Linked DNA regions of Canis lupus familiaris. The protein of the gene in region 1 interacts with the protein of each later gene in a pairwise test. Links are inferred from orthologs where the notes say so. Each region holds a gene or a part of one and is shown on either strand. Other genes may lie near its edges. The genes, in order: NUPR1, RAN and MPHOSPH6.

Region 1 (5,664 bases):
ATACCATGTTTCCCAGCTTCGCCTGTAGTAAGGTGTGGCCATGTGATTAAATTCTGACCCAATGTAACAGATTCTACTTTTAGGTTGTGGCCTTAAAAATTGGTGTGGTGGGGATCCCAGGGTGACTCAGCGTATTTAGCGCCTGCCTTCAGTCCAGGGCATGATACTGGGGTCCTGAGATCGAGTCCCACATCAGGCTCCCTGCATAGAGCCTGCTTCTCCCTCTGCCTGTGTCTCTGCCTGTGTGTGTGTGTGTGTGTGTGTGTGTCTCATGAATAAATAAATAAAATCTTAAAAAAAAATTAGTGTGGCTTCCCCTGGTCCCTTCCCCCACTCCCTTTCCTTGGCTGAGATGCAGATGTGATGGCAGGTACCGAAGCAGCTAGTTTGGATCCCAAAGTGGAAGCCATGTTTGTTTGTGTGTTTGCTTGTTTTTAAAGATTTATTTATTTAGTTGAGAGAGAAGAGGAGGAGAGACAAAGGGGGAGAGAATCTCAAGTGGACTCCGTGCTGAACAAAGAGCCCAACTTGGAAATTGGGGCTTGATCTCATGACCCTGAGATCAGAACCTGAGCCAAAACCAAGAGTTAGATGCTCAACCGACTCAGCCACCCAAGCATCCCGGAAGCCATGTTTTATGGGTGTCAGAATAATGAGCTAAAAGTCGCTGGAATCCCTGACACAGTGAAGTTGTCATTTTAGCTCAAGAGTACTGACTCTTGGAGCGGTTATATGACAGAGAACTTTCTCTCCCAATTTGAGTCTTCATTACAGCCGCCCAAAACCTATCTCAATCAATAGGTCTTCTTATTTGCCCTACAGTCTTCTCAAACTCTGGTCCTGAGACTGATTATATATATATACAAGGTAAGAATCTTCCTCCCCTGCAGGTGACCTCCCAGAACCCTGTACTGGCAGCCCTCTTGGCAGAGGGACAGTGAGAATCCTTGAGTTTGAGCCCTGAGTATCTGGGGCAAGTCTCTTAAGTTCTAAATCTCAGTTTTCTCGGGATGCCCGGGTGGCCCAGCGGTTTAGCGCCGCCTTCGGCCCAGGGCGTGATCCTGGAGACCTGGGATTGGGTCTCACATCGGGCTCCCTGCATGGAGCCTGCTTCTCCCTCTGCCTGTGTCTCTGCCTCTCATGAATAAATAAATAAAAATCTTTAATAAATAAATCTCAGTTTTCTCTATTTTGCAGGTGGCACCAATAAATAGCATTCACTTCAAAAAGTGGCTTTATATCTTTTAATTTTTTTTAAGATTTTATTTATTTATTCATGAGAGGCATAGAAAGAGAGGCAGAGACACAGGCAGAGGGAGAAGCAGGCTCCATGCAAAGAGCTTGATGTGGGACTCAATCCCGGGACTCCAGGATCACGCCCTGGGCCAAAGGCAGGCGCTAAACCACTGAGCCACCCAGGGATTCCCTCTTTTAAATTTTAATTTCTTTTTAAGCAGGCTCCACATTAGGCATGGCCCCAATGCAGGGCTTGAAAACTTACCACTCTGACACTGGAGATGTGAGCCAAAATCAAGAGTCGAAAGCTCAACCGACTGAGCCACCCAGGTGCCCCCAAAGGTGGTTTTATATGAAAATGACACAATCAATAAGATTGTTCATTCTGAAAATGGACAAGAGCTGAGGAGGGGGCTTGTTTCCCAGGCAGCATGACAAAGAAATAGGAAATCCCCTTGCATTTCGTGAGAAACCATGGAGACATGTTTGCCAAAACATATGCATACCAAAAGAAAACACAAGAAAACATGCTAGCCCCTACCCATCCTCACAAAATCAGGCTCACCCTCTCCCAGGTGCATAACCAAGGACACACGCTAACAAGACGGGCTCTCACTGGCTCATGCAAACGCAGCCACACACAGGCAGAAACACAGATGATCAAAACCGCGCAAAGAGACAAAATCCCACACACAACCTGCAGATGTACTTTGTTTATTGTCCTTCCTTCCCACACTCCAGGAGAGCCAATTTCTTCAGTGTCTTTCTTTTTAGGGGGTACCTTTTGCGACTCTGCCTCTCCATTCATTCCCTGCCTCTTGCTTCCTATCTTGTCCTTTTTCTGGGGCTGGAGTCACTTCCTTGGTGGCCCCTCGGAGCCTCGGTCAGGTAGGGTAAGTCCTGGGGGTGGGGTGGGGGGCAAGCAGGTCTGGATCCTGCCTCCAGGTGCCGATCCGTGGTCCTGTCTTCGTCGCTGTGTGGTGTCCGTGCTCTGGCCTCATCTGGGGCAAGGGAAGAAAGGGACAGTTCTTTTTTTTTTTTTTAAGATTTTATTTATTTATTTATGGGAGACACAAAGAGAGGCAGAGACAGAAGCAGGCTCCATACAGGGAGCCTGATGCGGAACTGGATCCTGGGACTCCAGGATCATGCCCTGAGCTGAAGGCAGATCCTCAAGCTCAACCGCTGAGCCACCCAGGCATCCCTGAGCGGGACAGTTCTAATCTTGGGTTCTGACTCTGCCTCTCCTGGTCACTTGCTCTGTGTCTCCAGAGAAGGACCCTACCTCCCCCTGGGGCTCCATTTCCCTCCCTGTAAACCAAATTGCCCTCCAGTTGGAAAGGTTCCATATTTCCCCCTTTGCTCTGGTCACTAGGAAACTCAGAGTCGAATGTGTGTCTCATTTCATTGTACTTTGAGACAATGGTACTTGGATCCCTTCTTCTCACCCAACCATACTTTGAGGCATGTCCTTTTGAGACAGAGGGACCTCTGGGTCCCCTGACTCCTTACTTCCAGCTCCGTCTCAGGACCGTGCCCCCCGCTTTTTCCGCTCCGTGTTCTGGAGCTTAGTCACCAGCTTCCTCTCATGGCCACCAGGGCTGGGGCGGTTGGTGTTGGCAGCAGCTTCTCTCTTGGTGCGACCTTTCCGGCCTCCCACTCCTGGGAACCAGGCAAGAGGCTGAGGTGAGGTTGGCGGAGGCATGAGACATCCAAGGAGAAGCAGGGGGTCGGGAGCGCAGGGTGGACAGAGCATGGTTTGGGGGAGGCAGACTGGGGACTGGTCACCACATGGCTTTGGGGCAGTCATAATCCCTGTTTCCCTATCTGTGGAATGAGGGACCCCTGATGGTTGCTCCAATATCCTAGGGGTGTGTGGGGTCCCAGGGCTGAGCAGGACAGCACTCAGGGTAAGAGGGGTTAAGAAGGACTTGGGGATGAGGACAAATCTAAGGAAGAATCCTAGTTGGGACATGGGGGTAGATGTGGAGGGATCAGGAAGGTGACAGGGCCAGACCTTACCCAGGCAGGAATGAGCCAGGCTATAGAGGTCATACTCATCCAGGCTGGGGTCTTCGTCCTCTGGGCCTGGGGGCTGCTGAGCCCGGCTGGCTGCTCCCGGGAAGGTGGACATTATATCTGACTCTCCCTTGCCGTCTGTCTCTCTGTCGTCTTCAAAAGCTTTGTTTGTGTCCGGTTTCCCGACACCTCCCTCTTCACTGGCCCCAACTTATAAAGGCCACGTGTCCTCCTCAGGCCCTGTCTGATGCAATCTGGCCCTTTCCCAGAACCCGACCCAGTAAACAGCAATCACGAGAGGGGGAAAGAGTCAGTCCTGTGAGTCCCAGCCCCTTCCCCTCGCCTCCGCCCTCTCACTGGGGCTCGCCCAGCTGGGTATTTTTCCACAGAGGAGATCCCCGCCCCTCAGGGAGGAGGAGGAAAGAGGCAGAGTCTGAGCATAAACAGTCCTTGGGATAATGGCCAGTGGGGAACTGAGGGCCTCACCTGGCCAACTCCTCCCTATCTGTCCCCTGCCCCCTGCCTCACACCTGACCCCCACCCCAATTCTGGCTCAGACTCAGGACCCTGGTGGCAGATTGTGGAATGAACAACACACCACAAGCTAGGTCAGTGGTTTTCGCCCCTAACACGCCCAACACCCCTTTTCGATAAGAAACATCTGGAAAGCCCCCTTTATATCCTGAGCTGTGAGGGGGAGTGGGTCCCTAGGTAGTTTCCCTCACTGGAGAGGGAGGTTAACAGTGTGGTGCAGATTCTGGAGCCAGCTGCCCTGGGTTCAGACCTCTGACCTCTCCTTCCTGGGTGACCCCAGACAGGTCACCATACTTCTCTGCGCCTCAGTTTTCTCTTCTGTAAAAAAATGAGGATGATAAGAATCGCATCAACCTCACAGACTTCGTGAGAGAATTGAATGAGACACCCCCCACATGTGTGTAGGGGACACTTGCAACAGTGCCTGGTACCTTGTAAGCTGTGCTACAGGAGTCATTCACCTAATTCCCAAACAACTCAATAATGTCGTCCCTATGATGTAAAAGAAAAGTGATTTATAATGAAATAATGTCTTTCAAGGCATGAGTATCCAGAGGTAGAAGATATTACGAAGTAAACAGGTGTTTGTACCTAATATGAATTAAGGGAAGGGATTCAGACAAGAAACGCATGCAAGGGGCGCCTGGGTGGCTCAGTAGTAGAGCATCTGCCTTTGGCTCAGGGTGTGATCCCAGGATCCTGGGGTCGAGTCCCGCATCAGGCTCCCCCTAGGGAGCCTGCTTCTCCCTCTGCCTGTGTCTCTGCCTCTCTTAGTGTCTCTTATGGATAAATAAATAAAATCTTTCAAAAAAGAAAAGAAACGCATGAAAGTGGAAATTTCCACTCTTGCCTCAAGGGATCTGCCCTTTGTGGGTCAGGTTGACCCAGAGAGGCCACACCCTGCCCACTGATGTTTTTGCTGAAGTTTATGTGCCAGCTCCCACAGTACCGGGCAGGGAAGGAGGCAGATGCAACTTTCCACCTTTCTTTTCTTTTCTTTCTTCCTTTCTTCCTTTCTTCCTTTCTTCCTTTCTTCCTTCCTTCCTTCCTTCCTTCCTTCCTTCCTTCCTTCCTTCCTTTCTTTCTTTCTTTCTTTCTTTCTTTCTTTCTTTCTTTCTTTCTTTCTTCTTTCTTTCTCTTTCTTTCTTTCTTTCTTTCTTTCTTTCTTCTTTCTTTTTTTTCTATTTTAACCTTAGTAGTCTCGCACAATAGGACAGGCTGGGGGGTGGGGTGGGGGGTATCCCTGGGTGGCTCAGTGGTTTAACACCTGCCTTTGGCCCAGGGCGTGATCCTGGAGCCCCAGGATTGCATCCTGTGTCAAGTCCTGTGTCGGGCTCCCTGGATGGAGCCTGCTTCTCCCTCTGCCTGTGTCTCTGCCTCTCTCTCTCTCTTTCTCTGTGTCAATCATGAATAAATAAATAAAATAAAATAAAAAATAAGACAGGCTGGGGTCAGACCAGGTGTTCATTCTCTGCTAACATTCCCCCTTTGCTGTGAACTCGTTCAAACACTGTCTCATTTCCATGCTGCCTAATTTCACCTTCCCCCAAACCCTGGGATAACCCAAGTTCGTCCTTTGCTGAACAAGAAGAGGTACTTCTGCTTGTGTTTCTCCCTGGCTGGAGCCAGAATAAAATTTAGTTTTTGTTTTTCAGGTTTGGTTGATGTGTGAATTCTTGAACCTCCAGGAAATGAAAGTGAGGTCATTGAATAAAACTGAGTTTGGGATAATCACGTAGGGGCCAAAGGCAGGTCTCCCAACAATGAGTCACTTTAACATATTGGTTATTTTAAATAAAATAAGAGACAGCCTGGTGAGACTGACTTTCAGCCCTCCTTTGTACCCCTGAAAGCAGGAAATAAATCTCCCAGGTA
Region 2 (5,848 bases), on another chromosome or scaffold:
GCCCTCATCTTACCAGTGCTCTGTATTAATTCTGCTTCATTGTGAGGTCACCAAACAGGACAGACGCCACCCAAAGGAACGAACTCTCCACACATGACATGAAGCAAACTGTGCTGGCTCTCACTGCTTGTGCTTGGACAGACCTGTCCTTGTCCACGTCAACAGAGCCACGGCACAGGCTCTCAATTCAACGCTCCCCCATCACATCAGATTGCAATAAATGGAGGGAGAAGCATCCCCCACATGTATAACCTGCAGAGAAACACACCCTCACACGAAGGGAATCCCTGCTAAAGATCCAGCGTTTCCCAGGGAGTACTAGAGATGATTCAGAAAATCCAGACAAAAAGAAGCAATATATTTTGCAGCAAATTTTTCTTTCAGTAAGACTTGTGAATTCTCTCCCATCCCATTTTCAACAGGTAAGTGAAGTAGCTTCCAAATTTAACAGTTACATTTCAGATTTAGTCACGTCACACACACTTGCATTCCACACAGGTCACAAACACATATGCCTCCTATTACGTATCTGAAAAAGGTTTCATCCCAATGATGGGAACGATCTTTTCAAGTCACTTAAAATCTGGTTTTGAACCTAATATAGTGTAACATTTACAGTAATTGAAGTACATCTATTGATACATTTACTCAATATTGAAATTTATTAAATTCTACCCTCTGTATTTCATTTTTCCATATATTTAAGCAACCCCTTCCTACCTTCTTTTTAGGTAAGAAAGTAACCATTTAAGGAGAAATGGACATCTAAGGAACTTTGGTAAACAACCATAGCAGTGCTCAAGTGAGCATAATAGTTTAAGACTCCTAACTGCTACAGTATAGCATCCATGGGGTCAAAACTGAAGACAGACTCCACTCGTTCTTAAATGTGTAAATCATACAAAGATAAATGGTTTGATCCAACGAAACCTTTGCAATGTTTCACGTTTCAAGAAGCCATTCTAAGATCTACTTTTCTATTTAGTGTTCGTGCCTTTGAATTGGCCACAAAAATCCTTCAGAAAAAAAAAAAAGCATCAAAGCTGTGAGATGCCCAACTTAAATCCTTACTCTTCAGCATCTTTAACACTCAGAAATACTTGAAAGCAGCGGGTAATCGTGGAACATCTTTCTAGAGTACCAGCTTCACATTAGACGTTAACATTAAAACAAAATCAAATCAATGCATAACTTACACTCATTTTTAACAAATGAGACTCCTGTCAAGTCCCCACCGTCATCTGTTATCGTTCTACCAGATTCTGAACATCCCTACATGAGAGCACGGTTACTGGTCACAAAATAATGTTAACTGTAATTCTTAAAATGCCTATCCGAAACGTCTAGTAGTTTTGTTCCAACAGGTCACAGAAGTCCAAAGCTCTTCCCCAGGTGACACCACCCAGTCTGAAGGCAGATGCGACGGGCATCGTTTTAGCTTCACCACGGATGCTCACCCCTCTAACAATCTACCAAACGGAATACTGCGGATGTCTGCCCTGTCACCTGTGTGAGAGGATCCAAATGTACAAATAGACAAGAACTTAACCTGCAAAGATTCAAATTAAGGGAGAATAGCAAAGGCCAGTTCAACAGTAACGTGGCACAACTTTTCCTGTTAGTGGTTTTAAGATGCTTACCAAACAAGGGAGGAGTTCATTGGCTTAGATATTTGAAATACAACTTTATTCTGATTCTAAACGAAAAGGAATGGGAATGACAGTGACAAACGAGATTTCACCACTGGATATTGTGATGGGACTGTAGCAGTCTCATTATCTGAAACTCAGGAAGGAAACAACTGCGTTCCAAAACAGCTAAGTATGCAGGTCCAAAAAAATGAAGGTACTGTTTAAACTGCCACATTCACTCCGAAGCCCATTCATCTCCTTCAGCATCCCAAAGATTAAGCACATGTTCTGCTCAGCTATATAATAAAAGTGGCAAACACGCTGCACCACTGACATCACAGGACAGTTGCCTATAAAACTAGACTTCTGACGCTGGCCTCCAGCTGCACTTCTCACAGGTCATCATCCTCATCCGGGAGCGCGGTCGTCTGAGCAACCTGGACAGAGACACAACGTCAGGACACCATGGGTTAGAGCCGTCAGGACACGGGACACCCAAGAGATCCCACTGACGGACCCATCTGCCACCTACCTCTAGATCGTGCTCGTACTGTGCTGCCAGAGCTGGATCCATGACCACCTCTGGGGGGGCAAGAGCAGGCATGGCGACAAACTCCAGGTTAGGGTCTCCAATTAGTTTTCTAGCAAGCCACAGGAACGGCTTCTCAAAATTGTAGTTACTTTTGGCAGAAATGTCATAGTACTGTTCCATAAAATAAAATAAGTTTTTAAAAATCTACTTCTTGAGGATCATTGAAATGTTTAAAACTAAAAATAGTTTTTCCATCCATACCACAGACACAATTTCCTTTAGTGGATCTATTACCGTAGTTTCATCTTAGAGAAAAACAATTAAGTTTTAAAAAACATACCTGAAGGTTCTTCTTTCGGTGGAAGACGATAGATTTTGCCTTAACTTTTCTGTCCTTAATATCCACTTTATTGCCACAGAGCACAATGGGGATGTTCTCACACACTCGTACCAGATCTCTATGCCAGTTAGGCACATTCTTGTAAGTAACCCTTGACGTTACGTCAAACATTATAATGGCACACTGGGCTGAAACAGATGTAGGAAAACTGTTACACATGTATGACTTCTTGCACAAATGAGGAATGCTAAGGAGCACGGGCTAGGGGACAGGCCCAATCTGGCTACCTCTGCTTCTGCACTCACTACACCCCAATGTCTCTCTCTTCCAAGTTTAAGGATCTCCAACCACTGTAATACGTAACAAGATTTAAAGTTTCATTTTCTGTGTGAGTGTGAACTACCAGCCTAGCTTATCAAATCTCTCCCGTAATACTTCATTAATTCCGTCCCATCCCAGAATCTCAAGTAGACTACCGATAGAGCAGCACCCTAAGACAACTGGTCTCCTCTATTCTGAGGATCTCAGAACCTGCTCTTTAAATGATCCTAAACTACACAAAAGAGTATGTTATTCTGCCTTAAAACACGCAGGCCTACATACTGACCTATGAGGAACACAATTCTAATATAATTGAGACAACAAACCGAAGTATGTACAGTCTAGGAGTTTCCTAATTAAACACTTTTTAAGAAGAGAAAAAAAAAGCTGTGTATCTGTAACATAGCAAAGGATGCAAAATATGGAAGGACTCCCAATCATCTTTCATCACAAGAGATCCCAGATGACATTTTCTTCCTGTCTTTATCTGCCACTCTACAGTGCCCTTGAGGGAAAAAAACAAGCAAAAAAACCCCCAACCAGCCCCAACGACTCCGGCAGCCACAGCAGCACCTCGTGGGATGCTCATTGTCTTAGGTGAGGAGCCCGCTCCGGGTCCCGGCTCCAGGCTCCAGGCTCGGCGCTGCGCCCATCATGACACAGCACGCGGCAGCCGCCGGCCCGCCCTCACCCACCTTGGATGTAGTAGCCGTCCCGGAGCCCGCCGAACTTCTCCTGGCCGGCGGTGTCCCACACGTTGAACTTGATGGGGCCCCTGTTGGTGTGGAACACGAGGGGGTGGACCTCCACGCCCAGAGTGGCTGCAACACAAGCACGGCCGTCAGGTCCGCTCGCGCCCCGCTCCCGGGGGCCCCCGCGGCTCCCCCCACGTACCTACATACTTCTTCTCGAATTCACCCGTCAGGTGACGCTTCACGAACGTGGTCTTGCCGGTGCCGCCGTCGCCAACCAGCACCAGCTACGAGACAGGACGCGGTCGCGGGGGGCGGGGGGGGGGAGGGGAGGCCCCGGCGCCCCCCGGGCCGCGCCGCCCCGCTCCCCCCGGCCGCCCCCGCGCACCACCCACCTTGAACTGGACTTGGGGCTCTCCCTGGGCAGCCATAGCGCTGGTGCTGCGGGGAGACAGACGTGGGACGGCTGGCGGCGGGGCCCGGGCCCACATGGCCGGCCCGCCCCACGTGCCCGGGCCCACAAAGGGGCTCCGGCGGCCGGGCCCCACGCGCGCACGCCCGGGCCGGGGCGGGGGCCGCGGCGCGCTCCCGGCGGCGGGCGGGCGGGCGAGCGGCGCTGCTCCGGCGGCGGGTCTGGCGGCGCGCCCGTGGGGGAGGGAGGCCGGGAGGCCGGGGCGGAGGCCGGCGCGCGGGGCGGAGGCCGGGGCCGCCCGGGGCCCCGATCGCGCGCCCCCCGGCCCGCGCCGCCCCGGGGCCGCCGCCCGCCCGGGCCCACCGCGACTGGCGTCCCGGCCACGGTCTTCGGTCTCTACGGCAGGGGACGGCGAGAGCCCGCCGCCGCCGCCGCCGCCGCCCCGGCCCGCACGACTGCCGCCCGGCCCCGGCCCCGGCCCTCGCCCGGCCCTCGCCCGGCCCCCGCCCGGCCCCCGACCCCCCGGCCCCCCGGCCCCCCGGCCCCTGGCCCCCGCGGCCCCCGCGGCCCCCGGCCCGGCCCCGCTGCCTTACCTTCCAGAAGCGTCTCCGGCCCGTCTGACTGAGGGCTGGAAGATGGCGGAAGCGCAATTCAAATGCCCGGAGACGCAGCCGACGCCGGCGCGCGCCGGGGGGGGCGGGGCAACGGCGCCGCGTCGCTCCCACGTGGCCCGGCGTGCGCGCGCACGCACGCCGCGGGCTCGGCCGGCCACACCCGTCGGCCGGGCGCGGAGGGGAGAGTCGCGGCGGGGCGGCAGTCGCGCTCGGCGCGGGCGCGCGGACGCACGCCGGCTCGCGGGGCCACGTGCGCCGGCCCAAGGGCGGGTTCCAGCGCGCGCATGCGCCGACGCCGACGCGGCGCGCCCAGCTGCGGCCGCGCCACGACACTGGGAGGAGAGCGCAGGCCTCTTGGGCGGGAAAGTCGCGGGGAGCGGCCGACACAAAGCCCCGGGCCTCCGGGCGTGGGGCCTCGCCGTGGGCGCGCGGGACGGTGCGCCGCGGGGGAAGCGGGCGCGTGCGGAGGCCTTGGGCCCTGCCCCTGTGGCCCTGCCCCTGTGGGCTCTCGCGGCACCCCGGGCGCTCCGACCCGCACCCTCTCCCGGAGCCGCCCGTCCATCTGCCACCTGCCTCCCCCGGGCCTCCATCACCCTCTCGGCCGCTTCCTGCGCCCCCGGCCCGGCCCGGCCCCGGCCCTTCCTCCCAGACCCCGGTCCGCAGAGCCTGCCCTGGGCCCCCGCCGCACCCCCTCCTCTCACCTGGACCCCGCGGGCCCCTGCCTTGTGTTTCAGGCCCCCCCACCGCCCACACCCGGTGTCCCTGGCTCCAGCCAAAACCTTACTTGGGGGTAAAGGGTGCAAAATCGATGCTTTTTCTCACCCTAAAAGGCAGCCACCCTTTTGTTAAAGCATTTCCTTGGTCAGCAGCCTTTGTGACTGTATCCTGCGCACAGGATGACGAAATCGTGTTTTCAAACCTGGCGGCTCGCATCCCAGTTACAAATTTGGATGCAATCGATGAGTATGTAGGTTCCAGACTGTGGAGACAATAAAGCTGGCAAGAATGCAGACGAGATCCATGCACTCAGAAGTCACATGCTGCTGGGGATGCCCACCTCGTAGGGCCGGTGTAGGCAGAAAGTAAGATGAGCCACAAGCTCAGCAAGTGTTGACAGTTAACTACTATTCATTCTCAGCAAGGAAGTGGGCCAAGTGGAGTCCTCTAACCTCTTACCCTAAATCTAGGGCCAGTTTTTGGCATTTGTGTGGACAGCCACAGATTCTCCATAACCCAGATCCTCTCGGCCCCCTCTGCAAGCAAACATCCGCACTCGCGGCAAGAGTAGTACCGCTGGTGGCCCCAT
Region 3 (5,877 bases), on another chromosome or scaffold:
AGTTCTGATGAGGTGAGTCTGGATCACTCACACATTGCTGGTAGGAATACGAATGGTACAACTTCTGTTGAAAACAGTTTGGTTTCTTACCCAACTAAAGATTCATAACATATGACCCAGCAATTGTCCTCTTGGGCATTTATCTCAGAGAAATGAAAACTTATGTTCACTCAAAAAGTCATACAGAAATATTCACAGCAGCTCTATTTGTTAATAGCCAAACACTGAAAACAATCAAAATACTCTTCAAAAGGTGAATGGTTAAGTCCTACGGTACTACCATGGCATGGAATATTATTTAGCAATTGAAAAAAAGGAACTAAGGATACTCAACAACTTAGATGGATCTCAAATGAATTATGCTGAATGAAAAAAAAAAAGCCATCTCAAAAAGGTTACATATGTACAATTTTATTTATAGAACATCTTTGAAATAACGAAGTTATAGGAATGGAGAACAGATCTGTCAGAGCTTGGGGACAGTAGAAAAGACTGGGTATGGCTACAAATGGAGAGGCTGAGGGAACCTCATGGTGATGGAACAGCTTTGTATCATGAATGTGGTGGTAGCTACATAAGTCTGCATAAGCCCTCACCACAGGAAAAAACTGGCAGTTTCTGGAATGTAGTAATGTACTTCCCAGTCCTGCTTCCTCTGCTACTCAACATCATGTTTCCATCTTCTTATCTGGCAAAATATCCACTTGAAAAAACCCAGAGCACATGTCCTTTCGGCCTTCCCTGACTGGTGTTTGGCCAAGCTGTTCAGAGATCTCTTCCCATAAAAGAATATCTTTCCCTACATCTAAGAGCCTTATAAGCACTGGCTTTTTGTTCATTAATGCTTCTTTTGTGTCTCCCAAAAGACAGAGATTCTGAATAGTAGACCATGTCTCTTATTCATTTTTTATTACTAGTACTTGGGCTGTAGCTGGTATACAAGAAGAGTTCAATAAAGGTTCTCTGAATGTAACTCCAGACTTATTTTCCCAGACTCTCTTTCTTGGATGGTTCTCTTTAAACTCAGATGCTTTGGGGGCACCTGGGTGGCTCAGTGGTTAAGCATCTGCCTTTGGAGGTTGTGATCCCGGGGTTCTGGGATTGAGTCCCACATCCGGCTCCCCACAGGGAGCCTGCTTCTCCCTCTGCCTATGTCTCTGCCTCTCTGTGTGTGTCTCATGAATAAATAAATAAAATCTTAAAAAAAAAAAAAAAAAAAGCTTAGTGATTTGACTTTACTCACAAGTGAGAGCCTACAGCAGGCATCACAAATTACAATTCTGGGCTAGATAACAATTCTTGTAAATAAAGTTTTATTGGAACAAAGATCTGTTCATTTGGTTCTGAGCTACAATGGCAGGGGTGAGTAGGTACAATACTAACTGGCCCACAAGCCTGAAGTATTTATTATCTGTCCTCTTAGAGAAAAAGTTTACCAACTCCTATCTTAAGAGCCCAAAGGAGCTAACATCACAAATAAGCGCCCTCTTTACAATCATTTCATCATGCTGACAGGAATACCACCTATATCTTTCACTTTCTACTCCCATCAGGATCACCTTCCAGTCCCTAACAGGTGACCAAGTCGGAGGATTTCAGGTACACTTCAAAACAAATGTATTAGTATTAAATCCTCTACTCTCTTCATTCTTGCTCTACACTGAACTCTGGCTGAACAGTTACACTGGATACAGCAACCTAATGCAGCTGTTCCATTCATTCTCATGGGACACTCCACTCTATCTGTATGTATGGTATCTCTTGCTATCCTACCAATAAGTTCTTTATTATAACTGAAGCTGCTGACCCAACTAGAAAATCTGTGTCATAGTCCCCCCCTCTCCTTTGCTTCCAAGTCCTGTTGAGTCTTCTCCAACCACTGGGGTAGGAGTTGATACTTTTTTTATGGTATTTTCTTCCTTTCTAACTCTTGAGTCAGCTCTTTGGTCAGAGGTGTAATCACTCAGGACATCTTCAGTTGATGTGCCTGCTTTGCCAATCCACTCTACCTCTCGGATTGCAAACTCAGAGTCAGAAGAAGCCTCTGTGGGGTAAAAATGCAAATTTTGCTATTAATATGTAGGAAAAAAGAACTTTAGAAACTATAAATTATGATTTACCCTCCACCCTCACTCACCCTATTCATCCCTAGTTACACCCTCGCTGAACTCCAAATCTGGCACATGCAACATGTACTCTCCAATCTTTCAAAACATTATTTATGCCTTGCTTCCTTTTTTTTCTGGAAATTATTCTCTAAACACGACATCTTACACTGTGCTGACAGCGACAAGCAGTTAAGAGCAGGGGCTTTGGAGCAAGACTGCCTGAGTTTGGTTCTGTCTATACAACTTGTTAGCTGTGTAACTTCAGGCAAGTTAGCTACTTCTCTTTCGGGGCTTCAGCTGTAGGAGAGCAGTAATAACTGCATCTACCTCGCAGAGTCACTACATGGATTCTACGGGCGGCTATAGGCAAAGCACGTAGAACAGCTGTCTGGCACATAGCAGAAACTATAAATGTTTACTATTATTATTCAAGCTTTTAAGGCCTGGTTGTTTCCCCTGTTTTAATCCTATATTCCTTTTACGTGCCCTTGCCTTTTTGTTTTTCCACTTTGAAATTATTTGTTAAATGAGTTCAATTTTGGGGCGCCTGGGGGGGGTTCAGCGGTTGAGCTTCTTGCCTTTGGCTCAGGTCAGGATTCCAGGGGTCCTGGGACCGAGTCCCGCATCCGGCTCCCTGCAGGGATCCTGCTTCTCTTTCTCTCTCTGTGTCTCATGAATAAATAAAATCTTAAAAAAAAAAATGGATTCAATTTCGAATTTAAATAATCAATTTTGCTGAAAGTCGAAGATATTCACCTCAACTGTTCTAATTCTGTTCCCATTGCCATTGCGACCAGATCAAAACTTCTAGCTCGTTTTTGTTTTTTTTCCCCCACCAGGGCATTCTCCATAGGGCAGCTAAGGGAACTTTGAAAAGTAAGCACAGCTAAGATGCTCAATAGCTTCTCCGTGTTCACATAGAGAAAAAAATAATAATAATAATTCTTCCTCTGGCCTAAAACTGCTCACCTATGTGGCCACTGGCTGCTGGTTCAGGCCCACTTCTTGCTACTTGCCTTCCAGACACAACGGCTGATCTTTAGTTCTTGGGAATCCCAGCGGCTTTCCCGAGGTTTGCGTCCCAGAGCCGTGCACCCGGTTTTCCCTGGGTCTCCGCGGCCCTGCGCCCCGCCTCCCACCTGCCCTCCCTCTCTCCTCCTCCCCTCCCCCCCCCACCCCCCACCCCCCACCCAAGGGCCTCTCCCGCGGAAGCCAAGTAAGCTCCCGGCGCTCCGGGCACCGCTCAGCGCCGCGGCATCCTACCCGCTGCCGCCGCTCTCCTATCCCGCCGCGGGCTTTAAGAGCGAACCCGCCGGACTCAGAATCCCGTTCCCAGGGCCCGAACCAGACCAAGCGCTAAGTGAATGAATGAATGTCCGAGCTGGAGGCCCTCCGCGGCCGCCCCGGTGCCCCCGCGCGTCTGCAGCCCCGGCCCCGGCCAGGTGTGGAAGCTCAGGTACCCCCGTCGCCCAGCGCGCCTCCCCGCCGTCCCCGCACCTTCATGCGCAGCAGGTTCTTGGACAGTTTCGTCTTGCGCTCGGCCGCCATGTTGGCGCCTGCTCGGGGCCGCGCTCCACCCCCAGCCCCCGCCGCGCACGCGCACGCGCACACGCACACGCACGCCCGCGCACGCGCACTGCCGCGTGCGTCCCGGCGGCGGCGTCTCCCGCAGCTGGCGTCGTCGCACCGCGTGGCTTCGCCCTCGCCTGGGCGCGTCCCGGGAGGCGCTGTCCTCCTCGAGGAGCTGCGGGTGAGGACGCGGCTGTCCGCCAGGGGCGAGGGCGACTGGACGCAGGAGGCAAACGTCTACAGAGGCCTCAGTCGGAGGAGGCCCGAATTTTGCGCCCCGAGAGCGCCGTGGTGAGTGTCGCCGCGCGTCACCGAGGCGGTGGGAGCTGGTGAGACGCTCGCCGCCCGTCCTGGCCACGCCGCGGCTGTGGCGCGTCTGCGTCGCGGACGGCGGGCTTCCCGGGCCGCGCACCACGGTCAGCGCCACAGCCCCTCCTGCGTTGAGGTCACTGAGGCGTGGGGAGGCTGCCGGGCTGGCCCGGGAGCGGTGGGGGGAGGGGAGGCGGGCGGGTGCTGACCCAGGCAGTCTGGGAAACTGTGCACCGTTTGCAGCTGTGCAGGTAGGTCCCTGAGCCTGGATGAGCGTCCCGTGAGACAGCCCAAACCCAACTCGCAGGTGCGAGGCCCGGCAGCCACCTGTGCCAAGGGCTGGGGATGAGTGAGGGAGGGACTGGCGGGGCTAGGTAGGGAGAGATGGAGAGGGGGCCGCGGAGGCAGGCTCACAAAGTCCCCAGAATGCTGAGATGTAAGGAAACCAGACCTACGGGCACAGACCAGACCACCCTGCCCCCGGATATGGGTGGAAAACACACACACACACACACACACACCTGTGACCGGTAAAGAATAACCAGACCCAAAAGGAAGTCATTAAAGATGTTATCAGCAGACTTAAACCAGGACGTCTCAGGGAGGATAAGGCCACAATCTCCCTGGTCAGTTCTCAATAAAAGACTTGTCAGTGGAGGCCCAGTTGGCAACCCCATGAGGACCCCTCTCCTGAGAGTTTCTCTGCATCCTTGCTTAATAAACTTCCACTGCTTTTACTCTCTCTTGTCCGTGAGACTCATTCTTCTGCTCCGGGAGACAAGAACCCAGCTCTTGCTTCAGGGCCGCACGGCCCCCCCGGACGGTGAGGTCCACACCGTTCCCCGGAAAGCACCCGGCCGGCGGGCGGTGCCAGCGGCTTGCCTGTCCCACACAGCTTTCTTTCCTTTCCCTTTTCCTTTCTCTTTCCCTTTCCCTTCTTTTTCTTTTTCTTTTTTTTTAGATTTTATTTATTCATGAAAGAGAGAGAGGCAGAGACACAGGCAGAGGGAGAAGCAGGCTCCATGCAGGGATGAAGAGAGGCTTGTTTTGGCCTCCCATGAATCTGTTAGCGATAACGCAATTTCTCCCCTTCTTGAGGCGGTACCCTAAGATCCAATTAAAGGTTAGCTGTCAGGTGTGTGCAAGCTCTTTGAGGTGCATTTGAACCCTTTGATCTGAGTACAATGCCCTTCTGCCTGTCTATCCCCTTTATAAAATCTGTAGACGTCTGGATTTTGCAGAGAATAACTTTGCAGCTGCCTCGATTGTCCTCTGCCCAATCCCTCTTGTCAGTAAGTTACCCTGAATAAAACTCTGTGTAAACTGTATGGAGTGGCCTGTTTTGTTTTCCAGTCTCAAAGTGTCTTAGTTTGGGGGATACTTCACTGTTTCTCCATCTCCTAGCAACATTTCATCTTGCAAAACTGAAATTCTGTACCCATTAAATAATAACTCCCTGTTCCCTCCTCTTGTGTAACTACCGTTCTATTTTTTTTATCTTTAAATTTGACTTCTGTTTAGAATTTTCAAAGAAGTTCAGTGGGACCAGAGTTGAAGAAGTAACCGAGTCTGCTATCTACATCCATGAAACAGTGCTGACCATGAACTAGATCTTGAAGAATGAGCACGTGTCTTGACAGCTTAAGAGGAAAACAATTCCTGCCGGAAATAAGAGCATTATGTACATCAGCTAAGGATGCTAAGAGCTCCTCATCTTCACTATGCACCTCTGTTGTTCCCAGTCTACTTGCCCACTGGATTCTGATTCATTTTCATGAAACATTGGCTTCATCATGTTACTCTCCAACTCCAAAATTTATAATAACTTATTGTCTGAGGGATAAAGGTCAAATTCTTCAACCTGACACTCAAATTTCTACATTTTTATTTG

What was found.
Region 2: the proteins of NUPR1 (region 1) and RAN interact in a two-hybrid assay, tested with the Homo sapiens proteins (2 studies listed by BioGRID and IntAct). The link is inferred for Canis lupus familiaris from reciprocal best matches to the Homo sapiens genes NUPR1 and RAN.
Region 3: the proteins of NUPR1 (region 1) and MPHOSPH6 interact in a two-hybrid assay, tested with the Homo sapiens proteins (2 studies listed by BioGRID and IntAct). The link is inferred for Canis lupus familiaris from reciprocal best matches to the Homo sapiens genes NUPR1 and MPHOSPH6.

The regions. Positions count from the first base shown.
Region 1 is NC_049227.1:18,386,607-18,392,270, reverse strand, and holds NUPR1 (nuclear protein 1), read right to left. Parts: upstream 3,530-5,664; 5' UTR 3,371-3,529; coding exon 3,259-3,370; intron 2,899-3,258; coding exon 2,762-2,898; 3' UTR 2,749-2,761; intron 2,265-2,748; 3' UTR 1,935-2,264; downstream 1-1,934. UniProt on the Homo sapiens protein: Transcription regulator that converts stress signals into a program of gene expression that empowers cells with resistance to the stress induced by a change in their microenvironment.
Region 2 is NC_049247.1:1,619,473-1,625,320, forward strand, and holds RAN (GTP-binding nuclear protein Ran), read right to left. Parts: upstream 3,960-5,848; 5' UTR 3,948-3,959; coding exon 3,912-3,947; intron 3,804-3,911; coding exon 3,719-3,803; intron 3,646-3,718; coding exon 3,520-3,645; intron 2,692-3,519; coding exon 2,504-2,691; intron 2,335-2,503; coding exon 2,164-2,334; intron 2,069-2,163; coding exon 2,024-2,068; 3' UTR 2,010-2,023; downstream 1-2,009. UniProt on the Homo sapiens protein: GTPase involved in nucleocytoplasmic transport, participating both to the import and the export from the nucleus of proteins and RNAs. Switches between a cytoplasmic GDP- and a nuclear GTP-bound state by nucleotide exchange and GTP hydrolysis.
Region 3 is NC_049226.1:70,385,996-70,391,872, reverse strand, and holds the start of MPHOSPH6 (M-phase phosphoprotein 6), read right to left. Parts: upstream 3,738-5,877; 5' UTR 3,657-3,737; coding exon 3,606-3,656; intron 3,226-3,605; exon of another isoform or gene 3,078-3,225; intron 1-3,077. UniProt on the Homo sapiens protein: RNA-binding protein that associates with the RNA exosome complex. Involved in the 3'-processing of the 7S pre-RNA to the mature 5.8S rRNA and play a role in recruiting the RNA exosome complex to pre-rRNA; this function may include C1D.